Linked DNA regions of Nothobranchius furzeri. The protein of the gene in region 1 purifies or fractionates together with the protein of each later gene. This does not show direct contact. Links are inferred from orthologs where the notes say so. Each region holds a gene or a part of one and is shown in the gene's direction. Other genes may lie near its edges. The genes, in order: adra1d, sntb2, sntb1, dtna and utrn.

What was found.
Region 2: the proteins of adra1d (region 1) and sntb2 purify together in Homo sapiens (tandem affinity purification; 4 studies listed by BioGRID and IntAct, with this or other methods). This does not show direct contact. The link is inferred for Nothobranchius furzeri from reciprocal best matches to the Homo sapiens genes ADRA1D and SNTB2.
Region 3: the proteins of adra1d (region 1) and sntb1 purify together in Homo sapiens (tandem affinity purification; 4 studies listed by BioGRID and IntAct, with this or other methods). This does not show direct contact. The link is inferred for Nothobranchius furzeri from reciprocal best matches to the Homo sapiens genes ADRA1D and SNTB1.
Region 4: the proteins of adra1d (region 1) and dtna purify together in Homo sapiens (tandem affinity purification; 4 studies listed by BioGRID and IntAct, with this or other methods). This does not show direct contact. The link is inferred for Nothobranchius furzeri from reciprocal best matches to the Homo sapiens genes ADRA1D and DTNA.
Region 5: the proteins of adra1d (region 1) and utrn purify together in Homo sapiens (tandem affinity purification; 4 studies listed by BioGRID and IntAct, with this or other methods). This does not show direct contact. The link is inferred for Nothobranchius furzeri from reciprocal best matches to the Homo sapiens genes ADRA1D and UTRN.

Annotation. Positions count from the first base shown.
Region 1 is NC_091746.1:78,324,889-78,328,865, reverse strand, and holds the start of adra1d (alpha-1A adrenergic receptor), read left to right. Parts: upstream 1-1,173; 5' UTR 1,174-1,343; coding exon 1,344-2,295; intron 2,296-3,977. UniProt on the Homo sapiens protein: This alpha-adrenergic receptor mediates its effect through the influx of extracellular calcium.
Region 2 is NC_091744.1:86,309,834-86,314,025, forward strand, and holds the start of sntb2 (beta-2-syntrophin), read left to right. Parts: upstream 1-1,392; 5' UTR 1,393-1,535; coding exon 1,536-2,232; intron 2,233-4,192. UniProt on the Homo sapiens protein: Adapter protein that binds to and probably organizes the subcellular localization of a variety of membrane proteins. May link various receptors to the actin cytoskeleton and the dystrophin glycoprotein complex.
Region 3 is NC_091745.1:41,784,290-41,788,530, reverse strand, and holds the start of sntb1 (beta-1-syntrophin), read left to right. Parts: upstream 1-1,430; 5' UTR 1,431-1,575; coding exon 1,576-2,101; intron 2,102-4,241. UniProt on the Homo sapiens protein: Adapter protein that binds to and probably organizes the subcellular localization of a variety of membrane proteins. May link various receptors to the actin cytoskeleton and the dystrophin glycoprotein complex.
Region 4 is NC_091751.1:50,726,447-50,729,959, reverse strand, and holds part of dtna (dystrobrevin alpha), read left to right. Parts: intron 1-103; coding exon 104-270; intron 271-455; coding exon 456-580; intron 581-3,513. UniProt on the Homo sapiens protein: May be involved in the formation and stability of synapses as well as being involved in the clustering of nicotinic acetylcholine receptors.
Region 5 is NC_091742.1:4,205,758-4,209,827, reverse strand, and holds the start of utrn (utrophin), read left to right. Parts: upstream 1-1,262; 5' UTR 1,263-1,339; coding exon 1,340-1,421; intron 1,422-3,841; exon of another isoform or gene 3,842-4,070.

The DNA of each region.
Region 1 (3,977 bases):
TAGACAGGGAAGTGCAAACAAAGACAATGGAAACAGGTGAGATGATTGCAAATGAAAAGGGCCAACAGGTGTGACTAATTAACTGAGAAATAGGAGGCAAAACACAACACAAGATGTAAATAACAACACAAAACGATAAAACAACAACTAGAACAGAATGATACTAAACTAAAGGCTGAAAGAAATAAACTAAACAGGGAAGCTAAACGAGGATAAATGCTCTGAGAACTGAAGCCCAAAAATAATAATTAATGAAGTGAACTAATAAAACAGAAAATAGAAAATAATCGAGAAACTAAGCAACTAAAGATGCAAGTGAAACTAATGCAGGGAATCCAGGAGAAATCGAGAGATAAATATTGATAAACTGACAAACCTAATAGAAGCTAAAGTAAAAATTAAGACTTAACTGGGGAAAACAGAATAGAACACAATAAAACAAAAACATGCCAACTGAAACTAAAAGGCTGGGAGAAATAAACAAAACACGTGAATCCAAAAAGTCAAAATCTTTGAAAGGGGAAAACACAGAATAAGGACCGGGGACTGGGGAGACTGTAAAAGGGAATGAAGGTGTAGCGTGATGAATTGTCCATCACGTAAGCGGGGGGGGGGGGGGGGTGGGGGTGGGGGTGGGGGGACGGACAGGCCCGTCCTTAGAGCACACAAAACCTGGAGATGGCAGCCACATCTGCGTCTGGGCACTCCAGCTATATCCCTGGATGTCAGAGCAGACTTGTTGGGTAGGTTGGAGGATATGAGTGATTCTGTCTCCTGAGATTTCAAGGATGGAGCCCAGATTCATTGTTTGCCCTTCTTTGTCTTTTTGTGATATTTGCAATGAATGTATGATAAATACTATTCAAATATACCTCAGAAAAAAGGCAGAGCATAAAAAAATGACTGGCCATATGAAGCTCCTGTTGTTTGGGAGGCTGCGAACGCAACAAGCGCCACATGAATGTGGGTGGAGCTGGAGGTTCAGACCTGCTGTAGCAGCTCTGGCTGTGATCAGAGTTGTTCCAAAGGATGTCACCATGCAGAAGAAAAACGCGCTATAATGGACCTAAATGCGCTTCCGGTTGGGGCTGTTCATTAATCCACTAAGCCAGGATTTAAAACAAATTTACAGGAAAAGGACGGATCTGAAGGCGCGTGCGGGTGGATGTTTTTGTTATTATTTGTTTTGAGTTGAATTCTTTTATGTTTTGTTAGCTGTTTATTCTGATGAAAGCCGCCAGGTTGCGTTTCTGAGACCAACGCGGAGCGAGGCAGAGCGCAGCGCCCATCAGCCAGTTTTCCTGCGAATAAAACTTCCTCTAAAGTTCTCTTTATGGCGCAAAATGACAGACTCTAATTTGAGGAATGAAAGCAACTATGGGCTGTCTCCTGAAGCGTTCAACGACTCTGTTCTGGACCGCTTGTTTCAACGTGACAACATCACATGTCAGAACTTCACCGTGGACTCGCAGGCTGTCGGCGTCGGGATCTTCCTCTCTGCTTTCATCCTGGTGGCGATCGTTGGGAATATTTTGGTCATCCTGTCCGTGGTGTGCAACAAGCAACTGCAGAACATCACCAACTTCTTCATCATTAACCTGGCCATGGCGGACCTGCTGCTGAGCATCATCGTGCTGCCCTTTTCCGCGTCTTTAGAGGTGCTGGGCTGCTGGGTGTTCGGCAGGGTGTTCTGCAACATCTGGGCAGCTGTGGACGTGCTCTGCTGCACCGCCTCCATCCTCAGCCTCTGCATCATCTCCATCGACCGCTACATCGGGGTGAAATACTGCCTCAAGTACCCGAGCATCATGACAGAGAGAAGGGCAGTGGCTATTCTGGTGCTGGTGTGGGTCTCATCCGTGGTGATCTCTGTGGGACCGCTGCTGGGATGGAAGGAACCCCCGCCTGTGGACGAGAGCATCTGCAGGATCACAGAGGAGCCCGGATACGCGCTCTTCTCCTCGCTCTTCTCCTTTTACCTCCCGCTCATGGTTATCCTCATCATGTACTTTCGGGTGTACGTGGTGGCCCGCAGGACCACGAAGAGCCTGGAAGCGGGCGTCAAACGGGAGAGGACTAAGTCTGTGGAAGTTGTGCTCCGGATTCACTGCCGCAGCGTGCTGGAGGACGCGCGTCCGGCCAGCTCCAAGAGCAGCAAAAACCACCCATTCCGAAGTTCGCTCTCAGTGCGGCTCATGAAGTTCTCCCGGGAGAAAAAGGCTGCTAAAACTCTCGCCATCGTGGTGGGGATGTTCATCCTCTGCTGGCTGCCCTTCTTCTTCTTCTTGCCATTAGGTATGTTCATAGTTTCACGGGTTTTTCCATAAAATGGAAATCTTTGCGACCATCTATGGGGCGCCGATTGTGAAAGTAAAGGTTCTAATTAAAATCTAAACGTTTTGACTAAAGTCTAAGAGGTATATAAAAGAACGCATATGTGCTTAGAATCAACATATGCTGTTCAATATTTATATTTAGAATCATTCAAGCGCATTGTTGTAAATTTAATTATCAATTGCCTGCTGGTGATTGTGGAGGGACCTCGCTTGCCTCTGTCAGTGAGCCCCAGGGCAGCTGTGCCTACAATGCAGCTCATCACCACCAGGGTGTGAATTTGTGTGTGAATGGGTGAACGACTGATTGTGTTGTAAAGTGCCTTGGGGGGTTCCAGGACTCTAGAAAGCACTATGTCAAAAACAGGCCATTTACTATATTTACTATAGACAACCAACACATTCGTGTTGATGTAGAATGAAATCAAATTGAATAATCAAATCATTGTTCATTTTGACATTGTGAGCCCACCGCAGGGCACAAACTTTACTTGAGACAAAAGTAATCAGTAAGTGTGAGGTGATCTTTATGCTACACAGAAACCCAAATCAACACACAAAAAAATGGTGGTGATGGTGAACATTCTGCTCAGCTTTATGGTTGACTCTGAACCAGGAAATAAAGCTACAGAACAACCAGTGAAACCGCCCCCAGCAATCAACGGCAAACGGTTCCAAGGCCCGACTCGGCCCTTGGAACCACAGAGAAGCAGGGACCAAAAAGTAGAGGGAAAGTAGGGAGAAAACAAATCCTTGAAATGAAATGAAATGAAAAATGAGTCCAGACCGAATCGCTTCTCCCGACGCAGGTTGAGGTGTGGCACCGGAAAAAGCCTCATTCACAGTTTTTGAAGGAACTGGGCTGGTAGGTTGTTCCATACACCTTGGGGGACTAATCACAGATCTTCAGTGGATGTAGGCATCCTCACATCCTTCAGTTTCTTCATGCAGTCCTAGAAACACTCCATGATGTTGAGATCAGGGCTCTGTGGGGGCCAGACCAACACTTCCGGGACGTCTTGTTCTTCTTGATTCTGAAGATAGTTCTTAATGACTGTGGCTATATGTTTAGGGTCACTTGCTTTGTATTTTGTACATTACTAAAAATAAACAAGTATTTTTTAAGGATGCTCTTTAAACATCTTTTATATGTTCATTCTGTGTATTTCTTCTAACTGCATTACTTGGTTCTTTTAGGAATGCTCGATACTGGCTTGTTTACTTCTATCCGATATGCCAATGTTATCAACTCTTAATTTCCATTATCGAAATATACAGAGATCCCTCTCATAAAAAAGAAAATCTAAAACATTTAAGGTTACTGACATCACATATCTCCTCTCATGCTTACATCTTTTACATTTTCTGTGCAAAATGAGAACTACTTCAGTTTATGTTAGGAAAAATGGCATTTTTAATTAGCCTCCATCAGCAGCTGAATCTCATTCTCCCTAAGTGGGCTGCTAAGATGTGTGTATTAGTCAGTAATGTATGTTTTACTTATATTGCACAGTAATAAAACATTTGTAAAGATCTTGAGATGAGAAAAGCAACGCTTGATTGTTATAGTTAGTCACCACAGGACAAAATTCTACTTTACAAGTTGTGCCAAATACACTAAAACATTTAAACAACTTTATCTCA
Region 2 (4,192 bases), on another chromosome or scaffold:
TGTTATCATGCTCGAATCTTCCTCTCATCATCAACCATCTAAAATCTCACTCTTCATTGTAGCACCTACCTGCACCTCAGCAGGTCTGGTGCTCCCTGTCTCACCCTCAGCAGGTATGGCTCTCCCTGTCTCACCCTCAGCAGGTATGGCTCTCCCTGTCTCACCCTCAGCAGGTATGGCTCTCCCTGTCTCACCCTCAGCAGGTCTGGTGCTCCCTGTCTCACCCTCAGCAGGTATGACTCTCCCTGTCTCACCCTCAGCAGGTATGGCTCTCCCTGTCTCACCCTCAGCAGGTATGGCTCTCCCCGTCTCACCCTCAGCAGGACTGGCGCTGCCTGTCTCACCCTCAGCAGGTATGGCTCTGCCTGTCTCACCCTCAGCAGGTCTGGCACTGCCTGTCTCACCTTCTTCATCATTTTGCTGCTGAACTTCCTCTGGTCTCTCATATGAAAAAAGTGACATGAATAAGGTTTAAAAATAAAATGTGATGAGAATGTCACAAACAAGCAACAATCACATTTACAAACTCCATTTTTATGTGGAGATTCTACTTTATTTATTTCGTGTCAAATGGTTTTTGTCTGTTACTGTAAAATCGTGTTAAATTCGCCATTTTTTGTTGACTAGTAGTGTTGTTTAACGTTTAATGCTGCCTAGCAAGATGTTTACGTTAGTCAGCCAGTCTAACGTTTGACCAGAAATACAATTATCCTCTTGGACTAAATTATTACCGAGTCACAATTCCTTTCTTTCTCTTATTGCCCATGAGAAGAAGCTGTTGTCGTCCAGGTCCCGCTCCTGTCTAACTCCCTGAGGGGAGGGGCTGTGTCAGTGAGAAGTCTGCAGCGTCTTTCAAAATAAAAGCTCACGAGTCAAATATTTCAAAATCAATTTTTTTCTTCTCCGTGTTATTGGGGGGGACAAATGCGCGTTTGTCCAATATTGGAGGGGACACGTCCCCCCCACCCCCCACCCCCGGTTCCTACGCCCTTGATGCATTCCGTATATTAGTAATTGCGTTTATAAACCATTAGCAAAACAATTTATTCTAAATAAAATATTCTTGCTCATATTACACCTATTACACACAGGACCACAAATCATGATAACACACACACACACACACACACACACACACACACACACACACACACACACACACACACACACACACACACACACACATCGAGAGTGTAATATGGGCTACATTGTTTTATTTTGAAAGGCCTAAACGGATGTGTCTTTGTTGTAGCTATGCTAGCTTTCCGGTGAGGTTGGACAGCTTTACGGAATCGGATTGAACTCCTCAGCAAGACCTCCGAGGCTGCCCCGTAGCAGCCGCTTCTCCTCCTCCCCCTGTTTTGTGGGAGTCCCGTGTTTCTCCCCCCTCTCTCCCTCTCCTCGGCGGGAGTGGGTGTGTCGATGCGAGCCAGTGCTGCCGCTTGTGCGCACTCACAAAAAAAGAGAGGAAAAAGTTGACGATGAGTTTAGAGTAGCGGCGGCCCGCCTCGGAGCAGGCTAACGACAGTCCAGGAATGGCAATTTGGACCAGAGCGGATAAAAATGGTCAGCTGGACCTTCTGCTTCGGGACCGCTGGATCCGAGTGGCTGCAGAACTCACACGGGAGACGCTGACTCTAACAGCCGAATCGGAGGTGACCGGACAGGCGGGCAACCACTGGGACTGCTCTTCGGCTGGCCTGCGAAATGGCATGTCGAACGGAAATGATCCGGGAACGAGTGTGGGGATCCCTGGCCGCCGTTCGTCCTCAGGTCAAGACCAGCTTCAGAACCACGGGGTGCGAGGGCGCAGTAGCAGCCCGGGTCGAGGAGGCGTCAACCGCGGCCAGTACAGCCCTGGAAAGTACCCGATTAACGGCACAAACTCTGACTTCGGAAGCCCCGGCTCTAGTTACGGTAGTCCAGGGTCAAGCTTTGGGTCGAGACAAGGCGATTTCCCGGTCAGCCTGGACGGGTCCTCCGAAGCTGTGCGTAAAGTCCGAGTAGTTAAACAAGAGTCTGGCGGGCTGGGGATCAGTATCAAAGGGGGGCGCGAGAACCGGATGCCCATCCTCATCTCCAAGATCTTCCCTGGACTCGCTGCAGACCAGAGCCGGGCTCTCCGGGTGGGCGACGCAATCCTGTCGGTGAACGGGACCGAGCTCCGGGAGGCAACGCATGACATGGCGGTCCAGGCGCTCAAGAAGGCGGGGAAAGAGGTGACGCTGGAGGGTGAGTTGGCCAACGCGAGAGCGCGGTTTTGAAAAGGCCTCCAGAGGTCCGACTGCACACCTATCCCTGTCACATCCATGCGCTGGCATCAGTGTCACTTCAGTTACTCTTTAAACACTAAAGGTATGCCTCAAATAACAATTCAGCTACAAACTATAATAAAATATTCCAAACTCAACAAGTTACCAGTGTGACGTAAGTCAGCTGATCCTTCATGAATAGCTGTCACACACGTTCATCTCGTTTGCAGCTTCCCAAAGCCAGGCGTGTTTGCTTTACACGTTAGAATTCAGACCCAAACAAACACGGTCTGTGTTGATCTATGAGCAGCAGAAGTGAGCTTAAATCAAATCAAATCAACACAAAGCCTTTGGTTGGTGTAAACACGAGTGCAACCAGAGTTGTGGTCAGGACCAGATACATTTCACTCTGGATGTTTGAACGACGGGCTTGTTGGAGATAAGAGGCCGCAGCAAACGTGACCAGATGAGATTTGTTTTTGTGTAAATGCACCAAAAAGCCCATAAAATAATAAAGGGCTTCTCTGTTTTTACGTTTTATCTTTGACATCAATGATTGTAATCTCATTTCTGATTGGCTGTGGATGATTCTATTTATGGCCAAATACATTTTAAACTCGCAAAGAAAATATAATCTGGCTTACCGAATGATATTCATCAGGTAAATACACAAATAACTAATGGAAAGTTGGGGGTTTTCTGGAGATATTCTGAGAAATAAAGATGTGTTTAATAGAAATGGACATTAGTCAAACTTCCATCCGTGTGCATTTTGAAAGTGCACATAACATTTTAGGTAAATGCTCGTCACGTGTGCAAAAAAAAAGTTGCTGAACGTGTCCTTATTCTGATTTAGTTTCATTAAAGCGGGTTTGTTTCGCTTTAGTAAAAACTACAACTGCTACTTTGTTGAATCCAGTCCTTCATCTTGGCCTTCTGGCATGAAGCAAGCAGTCTTGTTGATTTGCTTAAAATGAAAGTTCCCTAAATTACACTTTATTTTAACTCATTCGCTGCCAGCGTTTCTCACCGTTTTTACTGTTTTTTTAAGAGTGACAGAACGTTGCGCGCTAGGATGATGTCGACGCCAAAACAACCAAAACAAAGCAGAGACTCACCTCTTACATCAGGAAGAATCCGCGCGTTTCGAGCGTTTTCCGTTCTTTCGTAATCCGTTGTTGAATTGTGATCGGCAGAAGCTTTTCCGGTTCGCGCCTCACTTTTTTTACAGCAGCGTAGGGTTGTCACGATACTAAAATTTCAAACTCGATTCGATACTGGAAAAAAAACTCGATACTCGATTTTGATACTATTTAAAAACACCAATTTATTGAACACGTTTATTCAAAAAATAACATTCCTCAATTTATATTGCAAAAATTAAATGTTAAGAATTAAGTGTGTAAAGTGCTTAAACCTTTCAAGTATCAGCATTTTTTAAAACGTGCATACAAAAACACTTTAAATCATGAATTGTCTCACTATATAGACACTATTTGCAGAGTGATGTTTTGCTGCTTAAACTCTGTTTAAGGTGCATTTTTGTTATAAGATGTAATGCCATATGTTTTGTTCTGTACTTTTGAACAACTCTGTTGGTCAATAAAGGGAGAAAACGAATTTCTCCACAGTAGGACAAAGGTACATCTACCGGTAATCTTAATAAAAACAGATTGGCGAGCGGCAGTGACGTCATTAAAAGCGCCGGTTAGATTAGCCGCAGCTAGTCTGTTCACGCCTAGAAATCCCAGACCAGACCCGCTCCAAACGAACAGGGGAATCACGTTAATGATTCCTAACAAAACCTTTCGACATGAAGATGTCTTGGTGCAGATAATGTCTTATTTCGAGGCTGCACATGGGTGCCCATCCGCACCCGTTATATGGATATACGCTGACGGCGATTCGGCGATGGATCTAAATACCCCGGGGAATCCAAG
Region 3 (4,241 bases), on another chromosome or scaffold:
CTATTATACATCACCTTTCATAGGTCGGTAATTGGTTTGGTTTGAAGGTCGTTACCACAACACAGAATAAACTTTCATCTGATGAAGCTCATTTCCACATTAAAGTAAAAATAACTCTCCTGCTCCTCATCAAGACAAAACATGTCTTTTGCACAACTCAGTAATTGTAAGTAGCTCACGGTGAAACAACACTTCCTGTGTTTTATTAGGAGTTGTTCAAAGTTATTGAATAGGACACACTCAAAGAAAGATAAAAAATAAAATAGCTATACGTTACAGCCAGTTTATCCATTCAGCTTTGAGGGCCTAAAACAGTCTTGGAGGCCGCTCAATCCTCTGCCTGAAGGAGAAGGCGCGGGTGGGGTCTGTCGTCATGGTCTCTGCTCTGGGTTTGCATCTGCTGCTTTATTCAGTATTCATTATTTAAATAATTTAATCTGTGAAAAACCAGTAAGGACATAAAAAGCAGATTATTTTAAAGATCAAATGTTTTTGATTTACTGTTCAACGTCACCTGATGATAGATAGATAGATAGATAGATAGATAGATAGATAGATAGATAGATAGATAGATAGATAGATAGATAGATAGATAGATAGATAGATAGATAGATAGATAGATAGATAGATGATAGATAGATAGATAGATAGATAGATGACTGTTAAAACAAACATCACCAGTAGGTGTCGCTGTCGCGCCGGTTTAGATCAGTACCAGTGGAAGTTTGCAGATGTTTTAATTAGCCTAATTGACAGCTGCTGTTTGGAGATGATGGAGAACCGTTCCCCTCTTCCTCCACCTTGTTTGTTTGTCGTTTCTACATTTGCTTCTATTTGTTTCTCTTATTTTCTCTCTGATCTACAGAACCAGTAAGACTCGGACTGCGCCCTCGGGGTCTTGGGCTGACATAACCGCTGGGAACAGCTGGAAAAATAAAAAAATAATCATTAGAGATGCGGAGAAACTCCGCAGAGGGTGGGCCTTTAAATGAAAGCCTAAAATTAAACCGCGTTCTCTCCCCTCAATTGCATTCCTGAGTGCGCGTAAGCACGACGTAAGCGCAGTCCTACAGGACAACTAGTTATGATTTCAAAGTTTTTCAAAAGATGTTGAAGGTACAGTTTTATTTCCTTGAATTTTGTCCAAATTACGCACAAAAACACTCGAACCCCATGACTGAAACGGTGTATTGATTTTATTTAATAACATTAATGCTAATGACAAAAGCGTGAAACCGTTTCATTCTGTTCTGAAAAATTATCAGAGCTGCATACGGTTTTGTTTTTATGACTTTAGCACGTGCTTGCGTCATAGCTCAGAAAGTTATGTCTGATGCAAATGCCCATTTTTTTCTTTTTGGTTCATGGGCTGGTCGGTTGTAAGCGTGGAGAGGAAAACTCCACCCAGCAGCTTTAGGACCTCCGGGCAGGCGGAGCGGAGCGGGGGCCAGCCTGCGCTGGCTGATCGAGTCCCGCAGAAAACTTCTGACGAGCAAAGTCCATGCAGCTTGAGCCGGAACGCGTGTGTGTTTGTGTGAGAGAGAACGCGTGTGATTTTACAGAAATGCTCCAAAGATGGCGGTGGTAGCAGCCGCAGGCGTCTCGAGAGGCTCCGGGGCGCACAGAAGTGGATTAGTGGAGGTTTTGGTGCGGGAGCACTGGCACAAAGTTTTGGTAAACTTGAGCGAGGAGGCGCTGACGCTGAGCTGCGAGGATGGCGAGAATGTCAACTCAAACGGGCTCACCAACGGATCGTACCTGGATAACAGCAACACCAACTCCAACAATGGCCCCCAAGCTGTGCGCACCGCTTTCACGGACCTCCCGGAGCGAGTGCCCGAGGCGATCGCCAACAGAAAGCGCTGCGTCAAGGTGACCAAGCAGGAAGTCGGAGGGCTCGGCATCAGCATTAAAGGAGGGAAGGAGAACAAGATGCCCATTCTCATCAGTAAGATATTCAAGGGGCTCGCAGCGGACCAGACCCAGGCTCTGTACGTGGGGGACGCGATCCTGTCAGTGAACGGGATGAACCTGCGGGACGCCACGCACGATGAGGCGGTGCAGGTGCTGAAACGTGCGGGGAAGGAGGTGACACTGGAAGGTAGGCAGCAGTTGGGACACATGCACGTAGAGGGAAGGTGACCAGAGCCCCGGAAGTCCAAACTGTTTTTATATCATACAAACGCTCGTAAACCGAAGCCAACAGGTGTGCGTGGGTTTCGCGTATTTATTTCTGAGAATTGTTGCTGTGATCATTTAATTCAGATGTCCCTGATTAGCTGCAGGACTCCTGGACACCTCAGCCTCTGCGTGTTGGGATGCTTGGTGCAACTTCAGGAGACGCAAAACCAGGTTTTGTTGTTTTGCCTTCATGATTATTGCTGTGGTTAAAAAAAATCACCTTAATGAAGGAAAACAAGGCAGCAGGACAAGATCGAAAGCCTGAAAATGAACCGTGTTTTCTCCTGTAGATAAAAGGCAGCTGATTAATTCGTTTGTCTCTTCAAATGAAGTTGAAGAAGAGCTCAGCTTTTGGTTCCAGACATTTTTTCTGTTGCAGATAAAAACTTACTGGCAGAAAATAGCAGGTGGGATTTTATTAGATAAATAATAGGAATCTTTTGAGATCCAACTTGGATCTTGTTCTTCCATTTGCCTTAAAGAGTTCGATAACTTGTGACTTCCTGAACATTCTGTTTGGAGAAATAACTGATGAGCTACTACACTGCCTGGGCCAAAAACAAGTCACCACCTGGATTTAACTAAGCAAACAGGTAGGGTCCTCCTATTATTAATTACTGCATGTCAAAAAGTGTTTTAACCTCAAATGGTGCAATGAGTCACTTCTCATTCGTTAAACAAACAAGTGGAAAGACACAACTGGTGGTTGTGGAAAAGATGTTAGTCTGTGTGGGAAGGGTCGGGTCGTTGGCGTCAAGCAGAGATGACATCTAATGAGATGCAAAAAAAACTCAATCTGAACTGTCCAACACTTTATTAAAAACTGGTCTGATGAGTCCAGATGGGCCCTGTTCCAGAGTGATGGTGCATCAGGGTAAGAAGAGAGGCAGATGAAGTGATGCACCCATCATGCCTAGTGCCTACTCTACAAGCCTGCGGGGGCAGTGCTATGATCTGGGCTTGCTGCAGGTGGTCAGGTCTAGACTCCGCAACAGGATGTGCTCCAAGAACGAAGTCAGCTGACTACCTGAATATGCGGAATGACCAGGTTATTCCATCTTCCCTGATGGCACGGGCATATTCCAAGACGACAATGCCAGGATTCATCGGGCTCAAGAGCGGTTCAGGGAGCATGAGACGTCATTTTCACACATGGATCGGCCACCACAGAGTCCAGACCTTAACCCCATTGAGAATTTTTGGGATGTGCTGCAGAAGGCTTTGTGCAGCAGTCAGACTACCATCATCAGTGCAAGATGTTGGTGAGACATTAGTTCAACCCTGGATCAAAACAACTGGTGATGTTGCAGAAGCTTATCGAAACAGCGCCACAGCGAATGCGTGTCGTAATCTGTCATTGCACGCCAGGGCAGCTGTGGCTACATTGTAGCTCATCCCCAGCAGCGTGTGAATGTGGGATTCAATGAAAGAATGACTGATTATGTTGTAAAGTGCCTTGGGGGGTTCTAGGACTCTAGAAGGCGCTATATCAAATACAGGCCATTTTTCTTTTTGGGTGGTGACTTTTTTATTTGGCTGGGCGGTTTATGTTTATTTATTTGGCAGACGCTTTCATCCAAAGCGACACACAATTTATAACTTACAGGGCATGTTGTGATCCGTGGGGGAAAACGGAGTACCCGGAGGAAACCCACGCATGCATGGGGAGAACACGCAACTCCACGCAGAAAGGCCACAGCCGAGTTTCGAACCTGCAACCTTCTTGCTACGAGGCAACAATGCTAACAACTGCGCCACCACGCAGTTCTTATGAACAAAAAAGTGTATTAATACAATGTTTAAACAAACATCTCTGTATTTCCACATGGGTTCATGCAACATTATATTATAAACATTAAAGCACTGACATGCATCCCATTGGTATTTACATGGATGTTATTACAAGTGTGAACAGCAGCTGCATGCAGCACTTCTGGTGCATCTGGGAGTCAAGTACAGCAGGAAGTTCCTCATATTTCAGCCAAAACAACTAATGGGGAATCCACCATGGCATGAAACAAACATGAATGAACTCGTTTAACATTTTTGATGACTGTGTG
Region 4 (3,513 bases), on another chromosome or scaffold:
TGTGTGTGTGTGTGTGTGTGTGTGTCTGTGTGTGTGTGTCTGTGTGTGTGTGTGTGTGTGTGTCTGTGTGTGTGTGTGTGTGCACAACTGTACCCCCCTGCAGTGTTTCACCCGGTCGAGTGCTCCTACTGCCACACTGAGAGTATGATGGGCTTCCGCTACCGCTGCCAGCAATGTCACAATTACCAGCTCTGTCAGGACTGCTTCTGGAGGGGGCATGCCAGCGGTTCCCATAGCAACCAGCACCAAATGAAGGAGTATACGTCATGGGTAAGGAAAGGAAATAGGAAGAGGGGGAGTTATATGGAGGCGTGTCTGCATGACATCAGTCACTGAGGCTATTTTTAATCTGCATGTAAGAATGCTGCTGTGTGTGTGTGTGTGTGGGGGGGGGGGGGTCATTGTATTGATGTCCTTTTGTTTTGACAACCATTTGGCCTCTGTGCTTCTCCTAGAAATCTCCCGCGAAGAAGTTATCTCATGTCCTCAGCAAGTCACTGAGCTGTGCATCCAGCAGAGAGCCCCTTCACCCTATGTTTCCAGAAACGCCAGAGAAACCTCTCAACCTCGCTCATATTGTGTAAATACTTCTTGTTCCTACCTCCCCACTGCTAACTCACAGCCTGAAATGATTCCGGTCAATCACTCAGGTCAGCTGATCAATAGGTTTAATTACAGCCTTGGGAATTATCTGATTTGCAACTGTGCACCACCCGTTTTTAGCTAGGTTTTTTAGCTGTTTTGTGTTACGCAATGAAAAAATGCAATTAAGGCCTTCACAATCTAAATTCCTAAATTTCTTAAATTCTTTGCTTTTTGAGATCTGAAGGCTCTGGTTGCCATTTTGCAACCTTTCCATAATTTCTTTAGGTTTTTTTTTTAATACCAACTCTGACGCTTCTAATGGCTCATTTGGTTCAACCTAAAAAGTATGCCCGTTTCTTCCTGCTAACGGTTATTTTGCTCATTCTAAATCATCTCTGAAACAAAGCTGACAGGATTTTATTTCAGTGTCAGTTTTTTTAATAACAACTGGAAGACATATCACCTTATTGTTTTAGGGCTGCTGTGCCTCAATTATCAATGCTTTTAGTAGTCACCTCGCAGTTTGATGCAGGGAGATCATAATCAATTCTTTCAAGGGCTAAACTTGAATATAGGACCCTATCAACAGCTATTCAAAGCAAAAACAAAAATTTATCTTGAGCTGGATACTTTGAAACAGCTTATAAATGTCATTAGGTCAGATAAAACTTATTTAGACTCAGATCAGATGCAACTCGCTCAGGTTGTTTTTACTTGAAGGTGTTTTGTGGTTTAGCTGAAGGAAGATCTTGAGCTTTCCTTGTTCCAAAATAGATGGATGCACCTGCATGACTCACCCCCCCCCCCCCCCCCCACCCCCACACCCCCACGCGCACACACACACACACACACACACACACACACACAGCTCAGTGAATGTAAGCTAAGCTGGAAACACATGGCAGATGGAGAGAAGCCATGCACTTCAATTTTGTGGCATTGCAGGAGGCTGTTTGCTGCTGTTTCCAGGTGTAAAATTCATGCATTTTTAATGTTAGCATTGTTGAAAGTTGTCTTTGACTGATATAAATCTATATACCAGTATATGCAGGATCCCACTTCATAAAAAGAAAAAGAAAAACTAATTTATTTTAGGTTACTATGACATCTCACAACTCCTATCATGCAGACTTAAACTTTAAAGATTATCCGTGCAAAACAACAATACTTCAATTTAGGTTAGACCAGTTTTGCCAAGCAAACAAAAATATATCTCAAAAACTAAACATTGGGTCTGTCATATTTTGATATTTTGAGTGAGAGGAGAATTAGCTGGAGTTTGATGTACAATATGTGCATGGTAAAGAGTAAAAACTGACAGGTTATTTCCGATATCACATTTTATTGCTAATATCGGCCAATAATATCGATATTATCATCCCTAATTAGAGCGACAATGGCCCAATCCAGATACTTGCACTGCCACACTTGCACCCTTCAGTTGCACTATCCAGGCTAGCGGTGCAAGTGCGTAGGGTGGAGCTATTCAGTTCCGGGCTTGGAGGGCCAGTATCCAGCACACTTTGGTCTTAACTCTGCTTCAACACACCTGATTTTAATCAGCAGGTGAATAAAAGGCTTCTGCTGAGCCTGATGAACTGCTACACAGGTGATTCAACCACTGAATCTAGTGTGTTGGACTAGACAAACCACTGAAACGTGCTGTAAGCTGGCCCTCGAGGCCCAGAATGAAACAGCCCTGGCGTTGGTTGTCCCGATTCTCAAGTGCGGAAGTTGATCACTCCTTTTTTCACCCTTGATCCACACTTCACCCAAATCTGCATCGATGCAAAGTTGGGCAAAGTGTATTACATCACTGGTGGAGAAAAGGCTCAAGTGCCTTTTCTGAAAATATGTCATTTCAAATGAAAGTAGTTCATTTTAGAATGAATGATTGATGTTTAAAGGAGACATAACATGAAAAACCCACTTTTTTATCCGTTAACACAGTGTGTTTCACATTGTAAGTGTCTAAGTGAGCAAAAAGGCTTATATTATTCACTGGAGTTGCTATTTAGATATTTAATAATTAAGTTTTGGGCATATTTGTCCACCCGTTTAGTTTTTCAAATTATCTATTAAATCAGTAATTTATTTCGTCAGGATAACTACCAAATATGGTAATGGCCCTCGGCTAAACACAGAGCCAATCCGCCATTTTTTCATCTCGCTAAGATTTTTTGTAGTCCTATTGGAAAAATGCAGAATGTCTGGTTATTTTAGCCACACACAGCTCAAAACTGTTCCTCGTTTTAAGGAATGGTGGTGTGGCAGTATTTAAACCCAGGAGCTGATGACACTACTGCTAAAAAAAACAAAAGAAAAAGTAGTGTGTGTGTGTGTGTGTGTGTGTGCGCGCGCGCGCGTGGTTCGTTCGTGTCTCCTGGCTAGTAAGTACCGAGGGCTTCATCTATCTAAAAGGAGTCATTTCCATCTGAATGTGACAGCACCGGGACACAGCAGCAGAGCGGTAAGCTTCATATAACTCTAAAATGTCGACAAACTTTACTTTAGGTTTACGGGCATTAGCAGCACTAAAGCGTTAGCATCCGGCTTGCTATCGCTAGCACAGTATGCTAGTAAAGTTAGCACCCAGATTAATGTGGATTTGGCTGATTTTCGTGGAATAAAACATGATTTCTGATCAACGCCTTCTTTTACACCAGATGTACATCCACTGATTGTAGCAGCAGAGAGCCTGTGTGTTATTTTACGTGAGTGTGATGTAATCTTAGCATCCAGTAAATAAAGTCCCATATCAGCTAAAATGCAGCGTGACAAAGTCATTAAAGTGCGTCAACACAGTGGATTTAATAGTTTTAAAGAACAATCTCTGAGTGAAGTGAGGTTAGTTTTTTGTCTCACTGCAGATATAAAAACGAACTCTGCATCAGTCAGACGCAGCAAAGCTCACCGTCTGTATGAGCG
Region 5 (4,070 bases), on another chromosome or scaffold:
AAACAGTAGATCGTTTCTAAACGTTTCAGGCTGCAAAAACTGTGAATCAGCCTTTGTCTAATTTGCCTTTTACCCTTTTGGTTCCTTCTCATGGTGGCTCCATAGCTCTGCTGCCAGTCTGCCGTCTGGAGCTTCAGATTTACTAGAACAAAAACGTTTTACAGGATTTGTTTGGGAACAGTTTGTTACTTGTTCTTATCTTTGTGCTGCTGAATCTGAGTTTACATTGTACAGTAAAAATGATAAGAAAATAATAAATTTAAAGGAAGCTGACTGAACATCAGAGTTGTCCTCAGAGGAGCCTAACCTCACCACAGAAACACATTTTCTGTCTAGAATATGGGTGGAGGAGATTTGTCCTCATCACTTTTAGGCATGGTGCCGAACAAGTAGCAAAATGTAGTCAGTCTTCTTTGTGCTTGTGTTTTAAACACACTGACACACACACACACACACACACACACACACACACGGGATGCAATCAGGTGGTTTTTATTTAGAAAGTTAGTCAGCAGTAGGAGTTAGGCTTGAGGGTGTGTGTGTGTGACAGAGATGCTTGTTTGTATGTTCACTGGTTTATTAGTAAAAGATGATGTGCGACTGACAGGGCAGCATGCCTTCTGACACACTCGCCACCGTGGGAAGTTCCTGCTCCGTCTTTGATCCCCTCCCAACTCAAGCCTCACCCAGAGAAACCAGACCAGATGTTGAAAATCTCAGTGGTAGAAAGTGTCTTTGATTTAGTCAGCTGCTGGACATCACAGTATTCCTCTCTTCCTCTCCGATAGGGGACAGAAAAGACACAAAAACATTCAGCCATTCGCTCTACTGTCCCTCTTTGTTTCTCCATCTGTGTGGGAACAGAAACGGTTTGTTCTGCTGCTCCTCATCGACTCGATACATCAATAAACAACTGGACTATTGCACTGCTGCAGCTCATAGCCATGCACTTAAATTCAGAAACTCAGCTCTGTTTGCAATGGTTATGTAATTGTTATAGGTTTCACTTTTATGCAAACGCTCGTAAAGAAGCGTTTTAACCATTGTAGTACGCTAGCACCTCTTTGGGTTGCCATTTCAGGAAGGGACTTTACAATATAGATATAATCAAATACGTGTATTAATTAAGTCAAATTGAAGCTTATCCTGTTTCTGTTCATCACTTTTGTGCGTGCTGTTACATCATCACCCAGCAGAAACCCACTTATACCTCTGCTTCCTCTTAGTGTTTTTTTTTTCTCATGCATCTGTCACTCTCCCACCACCTTGTCTTCCTGTTCCGGTTTAGCGGTAGTGTGTTCTCTCTCTCTTCTTTATTTAAAAATACTTATTTTCAACCATGAACTTGAGCAGATGGATGTCCTGGAGAAAGCACAACTTCTTCAGAAAAAAAGGGAAGCATGAATATTGCCTGGAACTGGGTAAGGTTGTTTTCTGTTGAGTAAAAAGCGGCGTCTGATCCATTCTCCGTTTTCAAACCTGCAGTTATTATGGTCCCTGTGTGTGTGTGTGTGTCTTTTGATAAATGCTAAGCATCTTTGTTGTTTGTGCTTCTTTTTCCTGCCAGTCAAACCAGTATTAATGATCAATCAGAATCAGGTTTCACTTTTGTCACCAAGAAAATTGGCGCTCAGTCGGTTAAAGTGGCAGTGTGTAGTTTCCTGGTGCCAGGGTGCAGTACATACATAGATTTCACGGTAGTTTTACACCATATCTCCATCTCTTGACGGTCCTTCAGTGTATTATTCAGTGAAAGAGAATGTAATGCCGATGCTAGGTTTCTGGCGCTGTAGTTTCTGGATCTGCTCGGGGTTCTGCGCCTGCCGATGACATCATCATACCACGGCAATACCACTCAGCCAAAATGTATTGCATCTCTTTATCGATTCTGTTCTTTCACACAGGTTTTGGAAAAAGTTCATCAGTTTTTAATATTAAATTCATGTTTCTTACTGTCTAAATGTTTTTGAATGTGGTAATGTAACTTCTGTAAATCAAATGTCCAGCCAGTCATCTAGTGTAGTGTTTCCCAACCCTGTTCCTCAGGGCACACTGACCTGCATGATTTCCATGCCTATGCTTCAGCACACCTGATTTACATTGCCTCTTCAGGAGGACATCAAGTGCTGCAGATGTCTGTTCATCACTCATTATTTAAGTCAGGTGTGTGGCAGCAGGCAAACACTGGTGTTCAAAATGGCAGCATTGAAAACATGCAGGACATTGTGCCCTGAGGACCTGGGTAGGGAAACACCGATCTAGTCTTTGACAGCCGCAGGACCCCGAGCCAGCCAGAAGGAAACATGGAGTCTAATAAGGCCATCCCCAAAGATGCTAGCACTATGTACTTTAGACCCGGTTTTTATGTTTATATAGTACAAAGCTGCCAATATTTTTCAACTAGACAACATTTTGTTGGATATTTCCAGAGACTAAAGGTAAAAATACTAAGGCCGGGATTCGATTAAAAATAAATTAACTAATTAATCACAAATCTGAAAGAAATGAATCGCAATGAATTATAATTTTTTTTCCAGAAAAAACAAGCAATAAACATGCAAAAAATATACAAGAGAGGTTCATTTTATTTAGAAAGTGCATAAGTTGTTGAAGTGTGTAAAATCACAGAGAAAACCTTAAATCAAATCCAGTTTCTGTTCAAAAACATGGTTTGAAAAAGTCTGTTGTGTAAACAATGAACAGGAAATAAATCTAGTACAGTTAGCTTATGTTATTCAATGTTAATATCATTTTCCACAGCATCAGTTGAACTAGGATTGCCAACTCCCCCAAAATAAATAAGGGACACCTCACTGGCATGGCCCCCCTTGGGTGGGACGGAGTTTTGAAGGTGATCTGAATTTTATGGAATATATGAATATTATGAGCTTATAAATAATATTTATTTTATAACGTCAAAACCTGTAGTGGGATAAATCTGCCTACATTTTCTTTTCCGTGCTCTTTGTTTTGTTTTCTTATTATCCTGTCCTGTCTGTCTCTGATCCTGCATCTGCCTCAGGGAGTTGCAGGATCTTGTTCTCCTGAAAAAAACGCTGCCTGGCCACGGCCGTGGAGCACGGGTGATGAGCGCAGCAGCGATGCGCGTCAGGCCCGAATAAAAGACAGAAAGTACCAAGGCCGTTATGAACGATCGTGTGTTAAATATATTTTGGTGAGAATGTTTGCTTTGAGAATGTTACTGTGGCCGAGCGCAAGACGCAGATGCTGCTGGAGCGCATGGGCGCTCTGTCTCTGTTCATCTTCTCCGCTCAAAAGAATCCTTGATGCTGGGAGTCCATAATATGGTAGAAACTTGAACTTTTTTTGGGCCCGTAAATGATGGTTTAGCAATATTGTCCAGGGGCAAATATGGAAATATTTTGGAGAATGGTGGTTCAGGGTTGGAGAGATGGTCAAATTAATTACGTCCTTTACTTTTAACACGAGCTAATTTTCCCGGCCCTAAAAATATACACATTATCTCTTTAAACAGACACCCCAAAAGGCCAGTATGGCGTTTTCTTAGTAATATAATAACAAACAAGCTCTTCAAGAGCTTAATAGCATCAATAAAAATAAAGATAGTATTTCCTCCTAATTTAAATGAGGTTTCTTATGGTGATAATAAGCTGACAACATAAATGCTTTATGATTTTATATCTCATTCATGCTCTAGTTTTTCTGTAGACAGTGAGGAGATTTCAGAGGGTTAATCTCCACCATCGTCACGGCTTGTGATTGTTTATCTTTCTTCTCTTTTGTTTTCCTTTTTCTGGTGATGGCATAAAATGTTGAGACGGGGCCAAACTGTTGCTCTGTGCACGTCCTCTTGTCTCATCACTGCTGGCCTGCCCCGTTCGTCCCTTTTCCCTGACAGTGTCCATCTTTCCCTCCCTTCTTCTCCCTCTGCTGCTGCATTCTTCTGATCTTTTCCTCTCTTGCTGGACATAGAGTGACCAAAGCAGATTAGAGAGGGATATCACAGCCCGCTTTGCACTGTTACCCTCGGACTGTGTCCTCTCCTCTTTGTCCTTTTTTGGGGTTTATTGCTTCCTCTAATGCTTAAA